Neodiprion lecontei: one gene and its partner. Each later gene encodes a partner of the first gene's protein in a complex. Links are inferred from orthologs where the notes say so. Each region holds a gene or a part of one and is shown in the gene's direction. Other genes may lie near its edges.

Region 1 (9,701 bases):
TCATTAAAAAGTTTACGTTACTGTGTATGGATATACTTATTGTTAGTCAACTAAAATTTAAATTCTGCATCTATACACGGAGATTTACAGGAAGTGCTATTCGTATGCGGCTTTCAAATGATTGAACCGAAAGTGTAATCAGTAATTGGTCTACGGACGTCATTGGCTATGATTTTCTTTTTTCTCTTTTTTTCTACATCAATATTATTATTAAAGCGCTCGTTATAGTCAATCGCACCAAAAGATATAGTTAAGAGTATTAGCTGCGTAGTAGATTCTTGCCATTATGGAAATAACTGATTACCGGCAAATGTCGTCTCCTATTATTCCTAACAGTATTTATTGACTTGACGGTGTTTCACCACTTTGCAATAATACCAGGAATATTTGAATCGTTTTAAGCAACTAACGAGCTAATTCACGTATAAGTATACATATATGCATATTGTTGAATGTAATCATTTATAATAAAATACCTCGTCTGAGATACAGCTGCTTATTTTCTCCATACGGCTGCATTCTAGTTTATTAATCGGAACCGACTGAAGCAAAAATTAAACAACTACCATTGGACGCATGCGTAACATAAAATACTGTTTAGAAATACGCATGCATTACACACGTTACATCAAAAAACGAAGCTGTTATAAGAGAAAATATATATCGGCGTGAGAGCAGTTGACAGCGGCAGATTTGAATTCGATTTGTGATAGCAGACTTTTTTTTTGACGTAAATCCGATGAACCGCTTCAACGACAATTGTGAGGTAAGCGGTTCGACCAATCACAACAGCGCGCGAAATAGGGGTGCCCGAAAATCTATAGTGATCGCAGAGTGATCGGTAGTACTCGGCGAACTATAGCCGAGCAAACACGCCGAATTTCGCATCGCGATAACTTGGCCAAATACCGAGGAGGAAGCGACTGCGAAGTTCCCTGCATTGACATTTAATAGCGTTGTCATATAACCGTGTTCACGTAATTATAATCAGATTTTCATATTAAACTATAGAATGATACGTTTCAATTTTTTATTTTTACTCTTTATTTTTTTTTTCAATTTCATATCTACAATTTAGATTTCTGTACGAAAAGCAGTCATAGAACCATCGTTTATCATGAAACTCAACACTACGTGTTGTAGAGATCTATTCTAATTTTTCTCGGACATTCAACCCATCACTGACTGATAATTATTGGTGAAAATATTTGATTCGCAAGATTTCACATACTCTGTTAATGAGATTTAACTATGTATGTACATATAATACATACCTGTTTAATGTATCTTGGATGGTAAAGAATTTCGATAAGCAAAGAAATAGCAATGTAAATAAGAGACATTTTTCAGGTATAATACAGTTTTCCAAAAAATTCTAAGAAACCTGTGCGCCGCAGTGAAAAGAAAATGTTACACGACGAAATCGGTTCTGGTATAAAATTTAAAATATTCAGAATATTTACATAATATACAGGATCTGCTATTCATGAAAGCATCTTAAAGCCCCGCTGACCCGGTGTGTCATATATACAGAAATTTGCAGGTGATTGGAGCCCGTTCATGATCCACAAGAAGCCTGTCTCGACGTGTAAGTGATTTCATTGGCCGGATTTAACGGTACTGGCCAATGAAATCATCGGCCTTTATTCAACGTTGGATATTATCTTAGAGCATATAATACTTTATATGTTCTAAGGATATTGTGATTAAGTATATTTCCAAATCAAATCGATCTTATAATTCACTTTGTACAGTCGGAACTTGAATCTATAGCATTATTCACACAAATTTCTGGATGATGGTCGAACAGGTGGGAGGAAAAAGTTTGATCAAAAATCAAAAATCACGGGAATTATGCCATTAATTACGTAAGACTCAACATCTCGAATTTTTGTCTATAAACAACCGATACGAAAGTAGATTTAATGGTATAATAACTACGAAACCAGTTGTCTATTTTCCTTCTTCTTTCAAAACCTGGTTTTTTGTTACTTGATCCGACGTCAGTAAATGCTGTTCGGGCGTATCCTCTAATACACCGAGCCCGGAAAAATGAAATTTTTTTTCAATATAATAAACACACAAAGCAAGTTTCTGACTAGGACTCCAATTATTAGATTTCTCGGATTCGTCGGATTCAATTTTTTCCAGCACTTGTTCAACACGTGAACTGTTGAATAAAAAAAATAATTAATTTTGACAGTGAAGAAAGATACAAAGTTTGAATTTTTCTTAATTCTAATCACGAAAAAACATCGTCTTACCTTTTGTAGAGTAGAATATGAACATTATTCAGAATATCTTCGTTGGTATAATTTCTTTCTATTAAATAAAAATATGTATCCACCACGTGAATAAATGGTGCATGAAGCCACATTGAATTCTTCTGTAGGGACCGGTGAATAGAAGCTTGAGAGGCGCCTGTGTTTTTACTCAAAAATTGTAACAAGTCTGTACCTTTAGCTCGTACAAGTCCCTCTTCAAGTTGTCTTCAAAAATGAAATAAAAAAGCAGAGAAATAAAGAATTCTTTTTATATTAAGAATAACGGAGTAAACTTTGATAGTGAAAAAGTGATGAAGAACGAATTATTTCACTAACCTATTGAAATAAACGGAACTAGAGCTAAGCGTAAAAAGGCTGATGCTCTTCACATTATGCTCTTTCATGAACTGTAAACGATCTTTTGCTTTTCGTAAATATAGAATTAAGAGCAATAAGCGTTGATGATCCAAAAAACCTCTTAATTCCGGTATGCTCTGTATCTCTTTCAGTCTAGATTCTATGGTTTCCTTCGAGAGCAATAATATAGTAGGATATACTTTTAGCGCAGATTCTGTCACACCGTGTTTTTTAAGAATCTCTAACCTTGCAGGGATCAGGTCTGCCTTTACGTCCAAAAGTTTTGGATTTTTAATTAACAAAGGCTTCATATCACTGCCAGCAACTTGTTTATACGTCGTCAGTAACTGCTTGATATTTGTTGCGTCTGCACGAAGTAGAAAATTAGCTTGCTTTATCTATGGAAAACATAAATATAATTATTTACTATAAACAATTACTAATGATACCCGAAAAATAATTCAAAATTGACGTTACCTTAGCTTTAGAAAATTCGAGTTCATTCTCTAGACAGTCGATTACTTCTTCGATCGATCTTATAGAGAAATAACGAAACTTTTGTATAACTGCTGTTAATTTACTCAATTCCTTTTCAGTGTACTCCAGCCGCCACTTGAGATAATGCTCTAGGCAAATGGAGCGATATGTGTGAATAGAATTACTTTTTTTTAGTGAATCTAAGCATGGAACATCTGGCGGTGGTTTATTGAGAACACTGAAAATATTTTTCGCAATGTCAACATCAGCCGGTAGCAGATTCCAGTCCTGAAATTGTTGAAGACTGTATTCACAGCCTGTCATAAAACTGGAATACACAAGACTGAGGGTGAGAACTTCTGATATAACAGACATTAATAGTTAATAGTTTAAGGTATTTACTCGCGTTATCAAGTGATTCGAATGAAGTCATAATGAAAGTTGCATATTGTCACATTCTCAAGTATTTACTTACGGTTTTAATATGTTTGCTAATAATTTTGTGCAACCCAATTCTTGAAAGTAAGTTATTCTTCGCTCCAAAGTGGATGCTTTGAGAGATATTACTCCTATAATGTCCTTCACTTCGTTGCCAATTCCATATTTCTGTGTGTGGTATTTGCCTTTTTAATATGAATCAATATACGGTACTTATCGTCTTTTTATTTATTAATCTTGTCGCTCATACTCACCAAGCAAAGTGCGTAGGTTTCGGCGATTTGTTCGTTTGGAACCATGCGCAAGAGTTGATTTGCCTTTAAATAATGCCGTGCTTCTCTTGTGTCAATTTTCAATAACTTAACCAAAAATTTCATCTTTTCTACTGTGGCATTAGTTGTTGAATTATTGCATTGATTTTCTATCGTTGCTGAGATCTGTGTCATCTTTGTCACATGGAAGATAGTCGTTTTTAAACACTGTTGATTATTTGTAAGCCAATTTTTCAAAGTAAATCTCAGCATGATTTTATTTTCATCTCTGAATCTATTCCATCCGTGATTTAATGCCGCACCGGTGTTACGCTTGATACTTCAGGTATCGTTCTTTCGTGATGCCCTCGAGTAACCATATTCGGCGGGCCAAGTATTGGTCGGTAATTCAGACGTTCCCTGTGTTCGACGGTGAACGGAGACGTGATTGGAGTATTTTGTCCAATTTCGTCGACAAAGACATGTCTCTTTCTAACGCATCAATGGTAAGGAGCGTACTTCACGGTGAAGTTCTTACAAGCTCAAGTACTCTGAAGGTGAGTGCAGTTAAGCGGAAAACAGTGTAGACAACTCTGCAGACCCAAACATACATTGTTGTCGGCTATTTGAGCAGCGATAACCGGCAGTGTGATGTTGGCGTCACTAGATTCAAAATTCCGCCGTTACATCAATTGCGAACTAAGAACGCCATCAGTAACGCGTGTATCAACAACGTGTGAAATGTCAGTGAAACTCTGAGTAAATAATTCTATTCTAAAATGCGGAGCGCCATGCCCGAATTTGTGATACCGTCCGACAAGGATCAACTTCTTCAGACCCAGCCGGGAAAATACTCCGTTAGAAATGTATATCCGCTTCGGGACATACAAAACATTCTTGCTGGTATGTTATCATTATATTTTAGTCAAATTCCACTATTAAATATTCATTCCGGGTTTTGGTTTTTTTTCTGTCTTGTTTGTTGCTGTAATTTTGTGATAATTCTATTACTTGATAGTCCACCGCTGTAATTACTATTTCAGATACAAATGCTATCCTGCAGGAGGAGGGGCCCAGCTTCTTGCTCGAACACTTCGACAAATTCTTCTCTGTTCTCGTGCACGGCTCAAATTTAAAAATACCTGTTCACCTTTTAGCAGTTGATCGAATCCACAAATGTAAGTATTTCAACTTTCACAACTTTTACACAACAAAACATAATTCTTTACATGTTTTACTTGTTACTTTTCAGGCCTTAAAATGTTTACAAACGAATTAGAAAAGCAGTACGACAGAGGAAGAGAACCAGCGGCAGAAGATAAACCACAACTGCTTACCATCACCAATATGCTCGCTTACCTGTTGTCTAGTTTAATTCGTCACATCGAGATTGTTGTGTCTGAAGAATCTGCTGGCGGAAGTTCAAAGGTGAAAAACGATTTCTACAATTTCAAAACGTTCTCACAAAAACATTATTATAAAAACAGTAAGGGTAAAATATGAAATAGTACTCTGGTTTGTTGTCTGATTATAAAAAACTATTTAAATGTAGCAGCAACCCACAGTACCACAAACATAGCAACGATTTCTTTCAAGAAACTTGAAATCACAAAATTTAAACGTAATAGGTTAAAATTTCTTTTCTTAATCTTTATATTAATAAATCATAATACAAAGAAGCCACAAGATTATTAATTCTGCTTGTAAACCCTGATGTGTAGAACATGGAAATGACTCAAAATTTAGTCTCTTTTATTTTCGTTATTATTTTAGTTATTTAGCAATTAATATATCGTTCACCTTGATTATCTTCCAAAGAAGCGTTAGACGTCATTTTATTAAGTTAGGCAATTTACAAATGACTGCTATGTTTTATATCTTGCATAAGTTTTTGTTTTTATGTAATCTGCATCTACATCCAATCGCTCAGTTATTGTGTTTTTAATCTCTTGTTTGTCTTTGAAATTTTGCTTTAGCAACGGAAGAAAGTATCATCGAAAACGGATTGGGAACTCAAGTGGTATGATCAAATCGATGAAATTTTGGTACAGATATATCACTGGATACAATTGCCACTTGAAAAACTTTGGCAACCGCCAATAGCTGATGGGAGTTTTATCAAGTTAGTATTTCTTAGTCACAGGTTTATTTGGAAACTCCGAAAAAAATGAAAACTCTAAGCATGTCTTGTTAGAGAACCAATTGTATATTCTAAAATCTTTTATTGTCTAGGTGCATTTCAGAAATATGCTACAGGGTTCTAGAAAGATGCAAAAATGTCAAAGACAAATCTGTGCGGGAATCAATCTTCCAAGTGAGTTTTCATGGACAATATACAATTAATTCAATGCTTAAAGAACCTGTAAACCAGGTATTCACTGTTACTGAATATATTCTGAAAGTTATGGAGTCTTTGGCATAACATAGAAATATTTCAATCACTTACCCCTACTTTATTAAATGCTCATTATATCTTTGACGAATTGCTGAAAATATTTTTTTTCAATTTTCTACCAGCTACAGTGAATAATGAGTTTCGTAAAGTCTATTGAAAAAATAAGCTCTTATGAAATTTTGTATAGAAACTCTAGATTTGCAGGTTTAATTTTCTCTGCTATACCTACTATTTGAAAATTTTAAATCTGATTCCAGTTCTGAATACTAATTATCACTGGCAATGTCTAATCTCATTTATTTCAGATACTGGGGACTCTAGTAAAGCGGTACAACCATAGTATATCCTTTGTAATAAAAGTAGTTCAGGTTAGTAGCCTAAAGAAAATTCTTTACCTCAAGTTAACTAGAAGTATGCAGTTAATCCTGATGAAAAAATGTTTCCTCGGAATTAGTTGGTCAAAATGTGCGATGGACTAGCAGTGTATTTGGCAACTGGTATAATAGAAGTTATTGAACAAACCAAATGCACCGGTATCATTAAGGAGATACTGCGTGAAGTTGACCGAGCAACCCCAGAGGAAGGGGGGACGCGTAACATTGCGACTTTCCTTGACGCAATTGCTTCGTCAAAACCAAACCTCATATTACCAGCTGTTAGCAACTTGACTGACCATCTTGCAAATGAGGTATAACAGAGATCAGTGTAAATGATTGGTGAATTTTCTATGTTCAGATTTCGTGCAACACTTTCTTTGCTTTATAGTGCTACCTAATGAGAAACTGTGTGATTGGTATACTGGGAACGATAGTGAAAGAGATTCTAACGTCTGAAGATCTATCTGAAGATCAGAAGACAACACGAGACGAGTGTTTGGAGAACCTTATGGATCATTTGTTGGACACAAACGCGTTTGTTAGATCCAAGACTCTTCAGGTCTGGCAATATCTTTGCACAGAAGGTGCCGTGCCCTTAGTAAATCAAAACGCTCTTCTTACGGCGGTAATTCACCGATTAAATGATAAAAACGCGATTGTTCGCAAATATGCTTTTCAATTACTCAGAACTTTGTTGCAGTGCAATCCATTTGCTGGAAAAGTAAGTTTCTCTTGTCTTCTGTCTTCCATTGCCTAACATAACACTGATTTTGATAGATGATCTAATCATTACTTTACTTGTATTAATATTCGTTCTTTCCAGTTCAACTTAGACAAGTTGACACAGCAGTTGGCAGATGCAAAGAAAAAACTCAAGACTCTGAGAATAAGATTTGCAAGTATTAGTGAACCAGGAGCGAAGATTAGAGTAGACATTTGGAATGCGCTTGCCCCAAGCATCCAAAGTGCTATATCAAACATATGTGTCGAAGGTAATACCCTATCAAATGTATTTTTCTGGCCCTTTATAAAGGTGGCTAATCTTACAGAGCACATGGAATGCGAGGAGGATATTCTTTCTGAACTGGATTCTCGCTTTGAAAATTTGAGACAGCTACTTTTTCAAGAAAAAATCCGCGAAGCACTGGAACAGCTAATGAGTTTAAGTGCAAAATTGCCAGAAAGTTTTCCCATCGATACTATGACCCCTGAAAACAAAGAAGAGTTCCTAATGTCTGTACTGCACAAAGTATTCATAGATTCGCAAGAAGTTCAAATAGTTACAGAAAATCAAGGGAGTGGCGATATTGATCAACAAATGAAGGAATATGAGAAAGAGAAGGAAACGAGAAAAGAAGATTACGCAACTCAAGCAAGATTGGTGGAGTATATTAAGGTAAAGTACATAAATATAGACAATTAATATGCAAACACCATGTAAATAATTGGATGAGGAAACTTACCAGCTTCTCCATTTTAGAACTGTTTAATCTTCGCTACTGAGCTTTCTAAGGCGATACCTGTAGCAGAAATACGATTGTCCTCGATCTCATCGAGTGATGCCATAGAAGCTTGCAGTTTTCTAGGCATTGCATGTCAGTTTAAAGTTGAAGGAGCTAAAGATGCTATGCGCAAGGCACTTCGCCAGGTAGAATATTTTAAATTTTGCTCACTGAAGTACATTATACATATACATATATAGTAGAGATATTCGCTTATTATAATATTTACAATCATTTGAAAAACTAGGTTTACAGTTCTGATGTATCAGTTTGTGAAAATCTGGCTGAAGTATACACGGAGTTATACATCAGAGATAGTGAACAGTATACCTCGGAAAGGCACAAGGCATTAGTTATTGCTAAAGCACTTATTAAAATGGTGAAGAGTCTGGAACCTGGTGAAAGTCCTGCTCTCACAAAACTCATTACGCTATGGCGAAAAAAAGAAGTAATAAGTGCAGAGGTGTTTCGGGTAAGTACAGTGAGACAAGCTTAGGATTCATTTTCATTATGGACCTGAGAGCTTAATTACTGTTTGTATTATTTGGAAAAGGTATTGTGGGAAAGGTTTTCTCTCAAGTTAACCGACACCTTGCCAGAAGAGAGTCGAGCGGCACTTATGCTCTTAACTATGGCATCTACAACTGAGTCCGCAGTTGTTACGGGTAACTTTGACATTCTTGTCAGTGTGGGCCTTGGCCCAAGGGCAGAAACCGACCTTCTACTCGCTAGAGATACTTGTCGTGCAATGACCAAAGTGGCAGTGCAAAATCCTGACCCATTAAAATGCCCATCGAGGTAAATCATTCAATTTAGTTAGCCCTTTGGTCAACGTACCTTTCGACTGACTCCCTAATTCTCTATCGAACCCATTTACATTTCATAGGCTTCCCAATGAGCACGAAGTGTTTGAAAAAATTCTACTTCTGTTGGTGAATAAATTTCAAGACATTGACGAAACTTGCTATACCACATTCTCAACGGAAGCAATCAATGCTATTTATCACGTAAGATTTTAATCTTGATTCCTTAATTCGTAATTTTTTTCCCTTTGCTCGAATTTTCAGGTATTGATAAATTATACAATTGATTATCACGTATTTTTCGTTCTTTCATGCTGCCTTTTTGCGCGGAATGATAACGTTTTGGGTTAAATAATGAAAATCTTGTATATTTCGATGAAGTAAAACACATTACGTACTTGATTTGCAGTTAGCAGACCAACCAGATTTATTGATGAAACAAATGCTCAGCCAGTTGGTGAAAAATTTTCAATTGGCAAATGGTACAATTCACAGAAGAAACATGCCTTCTGCACAACTTGCAAACCTATTACACGTTGTTGGCCACATTGCTATTAGGCAAATGATACATTTGGACATGCATGTATACAAGGAATTGAAGCGAAGAAACACACTGATAGAAATGGTGAAATTGAAGAGGAAAGGAGATATAAATATTCGAAATATTGCAGATACAACGGCAAGGAGCATTCGTGATGGCGAATTGGATACACCTTCCAGTGCTAGTCGGATGAGGCGCCTAAAAGATGTAATTTGCTTGAATAACAGTTTCATGAATCTAAAGCTACTTTTTGTTCAACACGAAATATTTTTGGCTTAATATACAGTTTTGTAGTG
Region 2 (9,405 bases), on another chromosome or scaffold:
ATTTTGTGTGCAAGATGACCGTACATATTCGCCAATTCGACGACGTGCTAAGTCCGTTAAACACAAGATGACTACGACTCTCGATACGGTTTAAAGGTAAAGGCAGAATGATTTTCGTAGATAGTCGCCGTGTTAATACACACACATTATCTCCGTTTAACTTGGATTAACATTCTAGAAGCATCAACCGTTTCGATATCGATTTTATCGAATGTCATTTGTCCAGACATTGGACGACTTATTGGCGGAATCGCGGTGTGGAATAAAAAATTGACTGACGATCGAGTCGTGATATCGGTCGGGTAATCTGGCGGTTTGAATTGTTAGTTTTTCGTCATTGCGGTGGAAAAAGTGTAAAAAGTGAACGCGTGTGGCACAAATTTGACATTGCGATTCGGTGTGTCGCGGTATTTGCGGTACGTAGTTGTACGGATCCACACGATTCCCGTTCATTGTTTTCAATATTCAGTTAACCTCGGAGTTATAGCGTTCCCTCGCGAAAAACGCTTGGTTGGTACCTATTTACCCGGCTTCGGCAATTAGATTCGAAACAAGGTTTCCGCATAAAAAGTGTCAAGTGTGAAAGAATTTCTCTACGTGCGGCCCTAGTCGCGTCTCGAGTCGGAAATGATCGCGTGTGTTGTGTATTGTCAGTGTACTCTTGAGGATGTGGCAAGTGGATTCCCTCGCAAAGATTTTCTGCAGAAACCGAAGAAGAGCACGTGGATGCACAGATATAGTTGCGACGCTGCACGAGTGAGTCGCATGACTTTGAAATACATAACTATCTTTTTTTTCCTTTCTCAATGCTACCAAATTGCATAACGTTCAGGTTGATAAGAATTTCCTAAACGAGGAAAATGCCTCTATTTGCTGGGTCCGTGTTTACACGAGTTGCACCAAAGAGACTTACGTCACACCCTTCACACCGTTTTCACCGCCTCTGTAGCATTCAGTTTTCCGATTTGTCTATAGTTTCGGATTTACTGTTACCGATTTTACTTCTTTCATAGATTGCCAGTGTACCTTGCCACTTTGCAAGACGCTCACTAATATACAACTGTGTGCACGATTTTAAATTGATTTTCACCTACGACGGTTGACGCTTTACTTCTATACTTCCAAGTGGATAAATTAATGCAAAGAATTTCTCGAATAATCAAACGAAATGAGTTTACGGCGCGATGTTTATTTGTCGACGACTACACCTTGTTTATAAGAGGTATTACGGAACATCAGAAATTTCACAACGAAAAGATCATATCTAAAATTTAATTCGCGACTCTTCTAAGCAATAGTTGAATGAAAATTCTAGTGGTGATGTTCAGCTGCTTCCTTCCTTCTCATCTCTGCGTATGCAGCTTTGTTTCCTGGACTGTTAGCTATAAAAGAGGAACAAAATATATAGTCTTGAATAGGTACCGAGTCTATAGATACTGTCACAATCGTTTGTCACTGCTTTTCCTACTTTTCATGCAAAGAACTGTGCTGAGCAATGAAAAAAATTGTTTTGCTTACCGAGTTTGTGAATTTGGTAGATTATGGGTAGGCTGGCGACAACGCCATAATAGTAGAATCTGAATTGCCAACAGTACTTCCAATAGAACTTGTATGGAAATTGTGCAATCTTTGCCGAAATGGTATACGGGAACTTCATGGGACGAGACACTGGAGCAGGTGGTTCTCCAGACATATTTGCTAAACAACAGACCATGAAACAATAATTATCATCTCTATTCTTTTTTTCCCAATACCGGGTTACGAACAAAAATTACATCCCGTCAGAAACTAAGAGTTCTGTGTTTTCTTACGTCAACTTTTATATTCCCCTTAAAACTAGGCGCATGATCAGGTTTTATTTCCACCATCCACAAACACGGTTTAAATCATGATGATAAAATTTTGTCGATCTACGTGACTATCATCGGTAATTTCTAGATGAAATGTGAAAACAGGAGTCAACGGATTCCGGAAATATTTACGAAGTTGAATTATGTAATATTGCAACGATTTACGTTTGGCAGGAAATTAGCACTAGCCTTGCTAAATGGACGGTATTACTTTCGTGGGAATGAGAAATATTTAGTAAGAGGATAGAGTTACTACTAGCGTATAGAATAGGGACGGAACAGGGCAGAATGTAGATCAGACGAAGCGACTTTCGAACTTTCGATCCATCGAGTGACATTGCAGGCTGATAATTGTGCGAACCTTTACTTCACCGCGAATGAGACATAAATTCGTTGTGCGACGTGAGCCGAAGGTAACCGACTGCTCAGCATTCATGATTTTTGATCACAAAACTACCCATCGAAGAAATAATCTAAGCTTATGAGTGTATCATTACCGTTCCGTGGAAATACTTTCTGCAATGAACTTGTGACAAATCAACTCGGGTCCGTCTCTCGTGCACGATGGCCGACGACTGCGGCTGCGTCCACGAGGTTACGTAAGCTGACGATATCAATCGAGTGCCGACTATCGAGAGTAGTTGAGATCCTTCAGCGATAATCGGTGTCAAACGCAGCCAAACCGTCATCATTGATTTCAAATGAAAAATGTCAACGATGTCGACGGCTCCTGACGCGCGGTTGTGTTTGTCTTAACGAGACTGAGTTTCGGGCCCAATTTTCCGCACACATGGTGTATCGTTTATGCCAAAAAATGGCCGGAATGCTCGTGCAAATGCAGGAGGCATTCACGCAGGTTCAGTATTCCCGGAGAGTTCACCCGGAGTTCATGTCGAAGTTGAAAAAATTGTACCAAAAGGTGAGCCTAGTCCAGAATTATTTCTTCAGCCATCCGAGTGGTTCTGGCTCTGCTTTAAATGCAGTTTTGCCCATAAAAATTCTGCTGTAGTACGAACCCTCGAATGTGTCGCACGTCGATTTGTCATAACTCACGAAAATACTAATCCTTTGCAGATGAGTGAGAAAGACTTTACAAGGGCATTCATATCTTGTTTGTTAATTCCATTGGGCGAGGGAGAGCATCATCCTCGTATCGAGAACGTACTTATCTTTGCCGCAAAATTTGCAGTCAGCGTAGAATCGTTTAACCATGAGACCGAGGAAGAGGAACTTTGCCCTTTCATGAATTCGTTGTTTGAGTTTTTACTAGACAATCACGATGTCGGAGATGCAGCGCTGAGGTTCCGTATGTGCTACTTTATGAATATGCTCCTCAACTCTATGGGGGACAATGCGTTTATAGATGATTTGCTGTGCGATAGAATTACTACATGTATGACTGAGCGATTACTGGATAAAGTGCCCAAAATCAGGGCTCAGGCAATTTTAGCTCTTCATCGTCTTCAAGATCCGTCAGATGAACATTGCCCTGTGATTAAGGCATTCATATTTCACCTTAACAAAGATCCACAAGCCGAAGTTCGCCGAGCAGTCTTGCTCACAATGGGAAAAAACAAACAAACACTAGCAGCTGCGCTGCGAAGAACTCGTGATATTAACGATGGTGTCAGAAAACTGGCTTTTCAATTTTTAACCAAAATTACAGTTCGATCATTGACCATCGAACAAAGAGAAAAGTTGCTGAGCGACGGACTACGCGATAGATCTGAAAAGGTCAGCAAGTATGTTAAAATGCAATTGTTACCCACCTGGCTGGAACATTACGAGGGAGATTTCATCAAATTGCTCCGAGCATTAGACGCCGAGAATGCACTGGAAATTTCTATTCTAATGCTGGATGTTTTATTGAAGTAGGTTTATTTGATGACTGGGTGTGAAACTCTACTTAATTGCCTGTTCCAATGAAAAATATTATCGTATCATCCGGTTTTTCGTTTCCAGACTTACTCCAGTGCGCAACATCATTCAACATGTGCCTGTCGATCTTGACACAAAATTAATTCCATTTGAAAAATTAACAAGCGAAAGCGTAATTTATTGGCGGTGCGTGATTACACACCTGCAGCGTGAGGGCTGTCAAGATGAGATTGATAAAATATTGCCTGAACTTTCCAAATTTTGTGAGTACATCAGAGATTTCATGAATCTGATGAAACATGATCAGCGTGAAACTTGGGAACAGAACACGCTTCGTTTCATTCTTCTGCAGTTGTTTGAAATCACAAAAATTTGCGATCTACATGACGAGGTTGGCAGGGAAAACTTGAAGGAATTGATAGTAGATACACTAAAGTCAGATCATGATTCTGAAGCTCTTATCGATAGTATTGTTCAACAGTGTGTAGCTATTGTGCCAGATACCGAAAGTAGATTGAATTTATTGGCCAATGTGATAAGTGAACTGCGAATGCCATTGACAACCGAGGTTGTACCGTTAACCGAGGCTGAAAAACACGAGAAAGATATGAAGGTATCATTTTGTGAAAATTTGAGGATTCACATTTGTTGCGATCACTACTATAACCTCAAGTTGTATACTCATTGTTTCAGAAAGCAAAATTGAAAGTAGAGTTACTTCAAGTTCAAGAGTATCAGTATGTGGCGATCCAAAGTAAAAATTTTTTGCGGGCAGAGGAATTAAAAACCAAAATTGAATTTCTGAAAGCTGCCATTGAGGATCTTGGCACAGATCAGGTTGTGGAAGAGGTGCGGGAAGAATATGAAATGAAAAGTGACAAAAAAACACTGACAAAGTGCTTGCAAATCATGTTCTCCATGACGCAAAGCGTAAAGACATTGTGTCCGATGTTGAGAAGCCTTCTGATGGATATGGTTCTTCCCAATCTCGATGTAGGTTTATAGAAATGCTGTGAAGATATTTGAAAAACTTTTATTGCAATTTGGATAAACTAGATTTTTCATACTTCTAGCATTCAGTGTGCAGCGTCATAATCGGAGCACTGAAGGCAACTACAGTTTGTTGTCTCCTGGATGAGGATTTGGCCAAAAAATACATACCCGTTTTCTTCCTGCAATTTAGTGTCGAAAATGACGACATTTGGCTCGCCGCACTCAAGGGCATATTTGATTTATTGGTACTCTACGGTCTTGAGCGTCTGGGTATGGCTCCAGATCCAGAAACACCAGAAGACACTGGTCAAGCTAACAAAAGTAGGAGTAACAGGACTGTCAGACTGTATAGTCAGTCGGAAGATACAGATACATTGCTCAGTACTCCGCGACCTTCCCTGAATTGCGAAAATAGAAATATCATCAATATCCTCACAGGGTTATTGGATAATGCCGTAAGCTCAGCACCCGATCAATTTACCGTTCGAGCGAATTTCATGACACTTTTTATTCCTGCAACAATCTCGATATTTTGCTTTCTGCAGAACCGGGACCTACGGACAATTGCGGTTGAAGGTCTTTGCAAGCTTTTACTACACCGAAGAATCTCCAGTCCTTCTTTGGTCGCGCGACTCATTATTTTATGGCACAATCCTGTGACTGATAACGACTCTTATCTGCGCCAGTGTTTGAGTTATTTTTTCAACCATTTTGGCGCCGTTGTACCAGATAGCCAAGAAATGCTGGAACGCTCCTTTCTCGTGACGCTGAAAATGCTGGCCAATGCTCCAGACACCAGTCCGTTACACGAGATTGAACCTCTCAAGGTTGCGCAACTTATTTTGCACCTTACGAAAACTGAAGCTCAGGATCGTCTTCTAGGCTATTGCGCCCATAATAATTTGGCCCTTGCTATAATTGCCGAGGCTCTCAACTCTGACAGTTGTATAGATCCCAAACTACTTATTCGAAGCTTGAGGTATTTGCATATTCATTTGGAGGATGATTCTATGAGAAAATGCCTTCAAGAGTCTGTCAAAAGACTTTCAGAACAGGTTAATAAAAATTATCCTTATACAAGCAGATGTATTGATTATGGAGAATATTGGTATATTTCTTACTTTCAATCCTAATTACAGGTAGAACCTTCCGAAAAACGTATAACTAACACGTTGTCGCATTTCAAGCGCAATTTGGACAATCAAACCAAATTCGGAGCAGAAAATGGGCCAATAACAGAAGAAGAGCTAATGATCGAAGAAGAACCAATGATCGAAGAAGAGCTTGATGCGTGTTAGAAGTGACTTTTGCCTGCTCCCTCGTGCCTTGTTAAAGACGATGAATCGCGTTCTAATTCGATCAGTATATCAACATCTGCTGGATTTCCCTTCGTGAGAAGCTCGGGTTAGGTGATAATTGTACTGAATTCGTGATGGCATTTTTTTGGTATTCTAAACCATGATGAACGAAACACAAAAGTGGCTCAATTCATAATTTTTCTCATATTAAATATCATCACATTAATTTTTAATCATCACAACAATTTGTCATGTGTATCATATGTATTGTGAAATTTCTGGTGAATTTTTTTAAACACGGGTCGTACTCGCTAATCGCTATCTACCACGCGTGTTTTCCCGTTTTGATTGATCTCCGTTTTGCGGTAATTAATTTAAGTCAGAAATAATAAATCAATCGAAACAAATCAGTCGTATGGTTCGTGAAAAGTCTCGAGTTCATTTTTGTAGAGCTATAACGTAATAGAATTTCCGATTGACCGTAAATCTGCTCTGTTCTTTCTTTCATCGTTATATGCTATTTACTCGCTCGCTATGTGTCTTTATTCGGCAACGAAAGATTAGAAAAAAAGTCCATTGTCGCCACGACAGCAGAGTTTCGATTTCTCGCTGTCGGGCGGTTTTTTTCTTCACCTCCACCAAGTTGAAAACTTGAAAACCACTCGAGCTTTGTACCCTCCACTACGGATACGTGCATTTGGCACGCTTTCCGGCAGCTCAACGCCACTGGGTGGTTAGTGCAGCTGGCGGAATCGATATTCATCCGTAAAACCTTTCAAATAAACGAGGACATTAGGCAACGCGGATCCCTTTGCGATCCTCTCGCGATTCGAAGACAATCGACGCCAGTGGTACCTTCAACTTGATCGTTCAATTCTCAATTTTTATTTATGGTCCTAGTAGCCCCTCTCACCCTTCGTTTTTCACCGATTATTCAGAGTAAAATCCATCTGCTCCTTTTTCTTTTGCTCTATTCTCGTTTCAAGTCACTCTAGTGTAAATTTGTACGTAGTATTCGGATTCGATAAATTTCAGACGCTCTCCCGACTTTACATATATCTTTTATCTAGCAGTCACTTCCGGACTTACGCAAACTCCGTTCAAACCTATCAATCGCAATAGAATATTGGGTAGTAAAAGGTATCGCGAAACGCGGATGAAAGTTTGGGGGAAGGTTTAGAAATGACAAGACAAGAGTCGTTGTTCTTCGTCCGGACTGTTGCTGGCGTGGCTCGATTGGTATCGAGGTGAACCATTTTCTTCGCTTTTTTCATTGCCCCGTTGTTGTTTTATCGGTCCTGACATCGACGGTAAATTTCAAGTTTCGAGTGTCCGAAGCAGCACGCCTGATTGGCCAAATCGATTGTTACACTCGACTGATTATCCATCCCCTGTGACTGTGTTCTACCCAGGTTTCGATATACTCACCGAGTGGTGGTCCTCGGCGTCGTCGTCACACAGACGAAGATGCTGCCCACTGGGTAGATATATGCCTAATGGTTTATAGATCGAGTAATTATCCTCGGAAGGATGATCGTGCGAATACGCCGCGGCGTCGAGGCCCCAACGTTTATCCTACGACGGATTCGAGTCACCCCCGGTTCGTTCAAACTAGCTCGCAATTTGGCCCCTGCGATTGGTCCAATTTGCTTCTAAAAATTACACAATTTAGTTCTCAACACTCCATTTTACCTAATTTCAGAATAAACTCTCGTCCTTTTTCATTCAGCTGGCTGTTGCGGCCTCGGTGATAAATAATTGCGTGGGTTCAGCCGTTGTCCAAACCCATCGCCGGTACGCGTCTATCCCGATTCCTTGTGTCTCGACTTGCTGGCACCGTGGCTATTTCCTTATTTATAGTCGATAACTTTCTGTATTGTATCCGATACAATCAACGGTATAAATATTTGCTCTATCGAATTGCCGCATCTTTGGGGAAGATCGCAGTGTCAGCGAGTGCAAAAACAGGAAGAATCCCGCCGATAATTCTCAAGAACACTAAATTTGATAGGCAATGCTTTTCATTTAACGCATGCCCGCGAAGGAATCTTTGTACTATATTTTTTTGCGGTGGATTGATGGATGGAGGAGCTTTCATATCGTCCCACCCCGCGGTCACTCTGACGGGGATGCGTTGTCGTTATTACTTCATTTTATCCCCCACGGCGACCTATTGCTTTTGTTTATGCATCCAATATTTGTCGGAAAACTTTCAACGGATCTCTGATACAACCGTTAGCCAGAGACGTCGATCGTTCGTTTCTCTCTCATTGATTAGACAGGATCTTTTTCAAGTAAGAGGTAGCAAGAGTTGAAACTGCAATGGAGAAATACCGACATGCAGCAGTCAGCGCGTTCATTCAATCGTACATTGTGCAATTTGGGGACAGGCAAACGGGCTATTTCTACCTAGGGTCATACGATGGCGCAGAAGTCGGAGTCGAGTGTAACACCGTGTTTTTTTTTTTTTCAAGAAGTGCATGTGGGGCTAAAATAAAATGATTACGGTTCATTTTTGATTTCACTCATACGAATTAATTGTAAGAACAACGATTGATAAACAAAATTATTCGGTGTTGATTTATTGCTCGTTACTTCGCGAGGGCGATAATGACGTCCACGCTCGAAATGAACAATTTCCCATTCACCCAACATGCGTGAAAATAGGACTTATTTCATGCAGGTGTTGATAAAAGTCCGATAATTACAATCCGTCAGCCTAAAAAGTCAAATCCCTGTCTTGAGTTATTTGGTAAGATGGCATTTAACGAGGGGCACTAGAGAAAGATAGATAGATAATTCTCATAGGTTCGTTTATTTATTTTATTTTTATCGTAAAATTATTACCCACTGCATTATTTTATTTGTTCGATGGTAATTAGTAGGAAATTAACGTCGTTCGATTTGTTGAAATTTTGAACCCTTTCGATAGATACATAGGAACGACCAGAAAAAGAAACGTGTGGATATAGGAAGACCATACTATACATTCTGCCCGGGAAATTAATGACATTGATAACATTTTTTTATCAGGATAAAATATGAATATGTATATCTTATTAGCACTTCCCGCATTACTCTTGTTACGTATTTTTAATTGCCTGAGGTCAATGACAACTTGTCCGGTGTGTGTGTTTATATGCCTGTGTATTCAGGCCGGTTGGTCATCGTGGACGGACTCGCTCGACCGAGTTCAAAAGCTGCTCGTTAATTTCTGAAAATGACGAATCACTCACTCGACGTGACACACAAGTGTCGTTAGTTGCTCATCGTCCCACAGGATTTCTTTTACTTTTTCTTCTTTTTGTGTTCATCTCGCATCGGTTCAACTCCCGCACGAGCGGCTCTGAGAAGTATATATATATGTATATACCTGTAAAGCTCGC

Evidence for each region.
Region 2: condensin complex subunit 1 (region 1) and condensin complex subunit 3 share a complex: the UniProt entries of both Homo sapiens proteins name them as parts of the condensin complex. The link is inferred for Neodiprion lecontei from reciprocal best matches to the Homo sapiens genes NCAPD2 and NCAPG.

The regions. Positions count from the first base shown.
Region 1 is NC_060261.1:30,815,636-30,825,336, reverse strand, and holds the start of condensin complex subunit 1, read left to right. Parts: upstream 1-4,305; 5' UTR 4,306-4,566; coding exon 4,567-4,690; intron 4,691-4,830; coding exon 4,831-4,965; intron 4,966-5,039; coding exon 5,040-5,215; intron 5,216-5,763; coding exon 5,764-5,909; intron 5,910-6,019; coding exon 6,020-6,101; intron 6,102-6,487; coding exon 6,488-6,550; intron 6,551-6,636; coding exon 6,637-6,870; intron 6,871-6,947; coding exon 6,948-7,280; intron 7,281-7,382; coding exon 7,383-7,551; intron 7,552-7,608; coding exon 7,609-7,955; intron 7,956-8,039; coding exon 8,040-8,207; intron 8,208-8,308; coding exon 8,309-8,533; intron 8,534-8,614; coding exon 8,615-8,859; intron 8,860-8,947; coding exon 8,948-9,068; intron 9,069-9,273; coding exon 9,274-9,612; intron 9,613-9,701. Other genes in the region: transcription termination factor 5, mitochondrial, read right to left, coding at 1,954-2,170, 2,265-2,489, 2,601-3,019, 3,099-3,426, 3,574-3,704, 3,791-4,060. UniProt on the Homo sapiens protein: Regulatory subunit of the condensin complex, a complex required for conversion of interphase chromatin into mitotic-like condense chromosomes.
Region 2 is NC_060266.1:609,139-618,543, forward strand, and holds condensin complex subunit 3, read left to right. Parts: upstream 1-2,540; 5' UTR 2,541-2,640; coding exon 2,641-2,769; intron 2,770-2,924; coding exon 2,925-3,721; intron 3,722-3,812; coding exon 3,813-4,341; intron 4,342-4,421; coding exon 4,422-4,721; intron 4,722-4,801; coding exon 4,802-5,176; intron 5,177-5,266; coding exon 5,267-5,776; intron 5,777-5,860; coding exon 5,861-6,019; 3' UTR 6,020-6,505; downstream 6,506-9,405. Other genes in the region: uncharacterized protein LOC107216909, read right to left, coding at 1,312-1,382, 1,519-1,693. UniProt on the Homo sapiens protein: Regulatory subunit of the condensin complex, a complex required for conversion of interphase chromatin into mitotic-like condense chromosomes.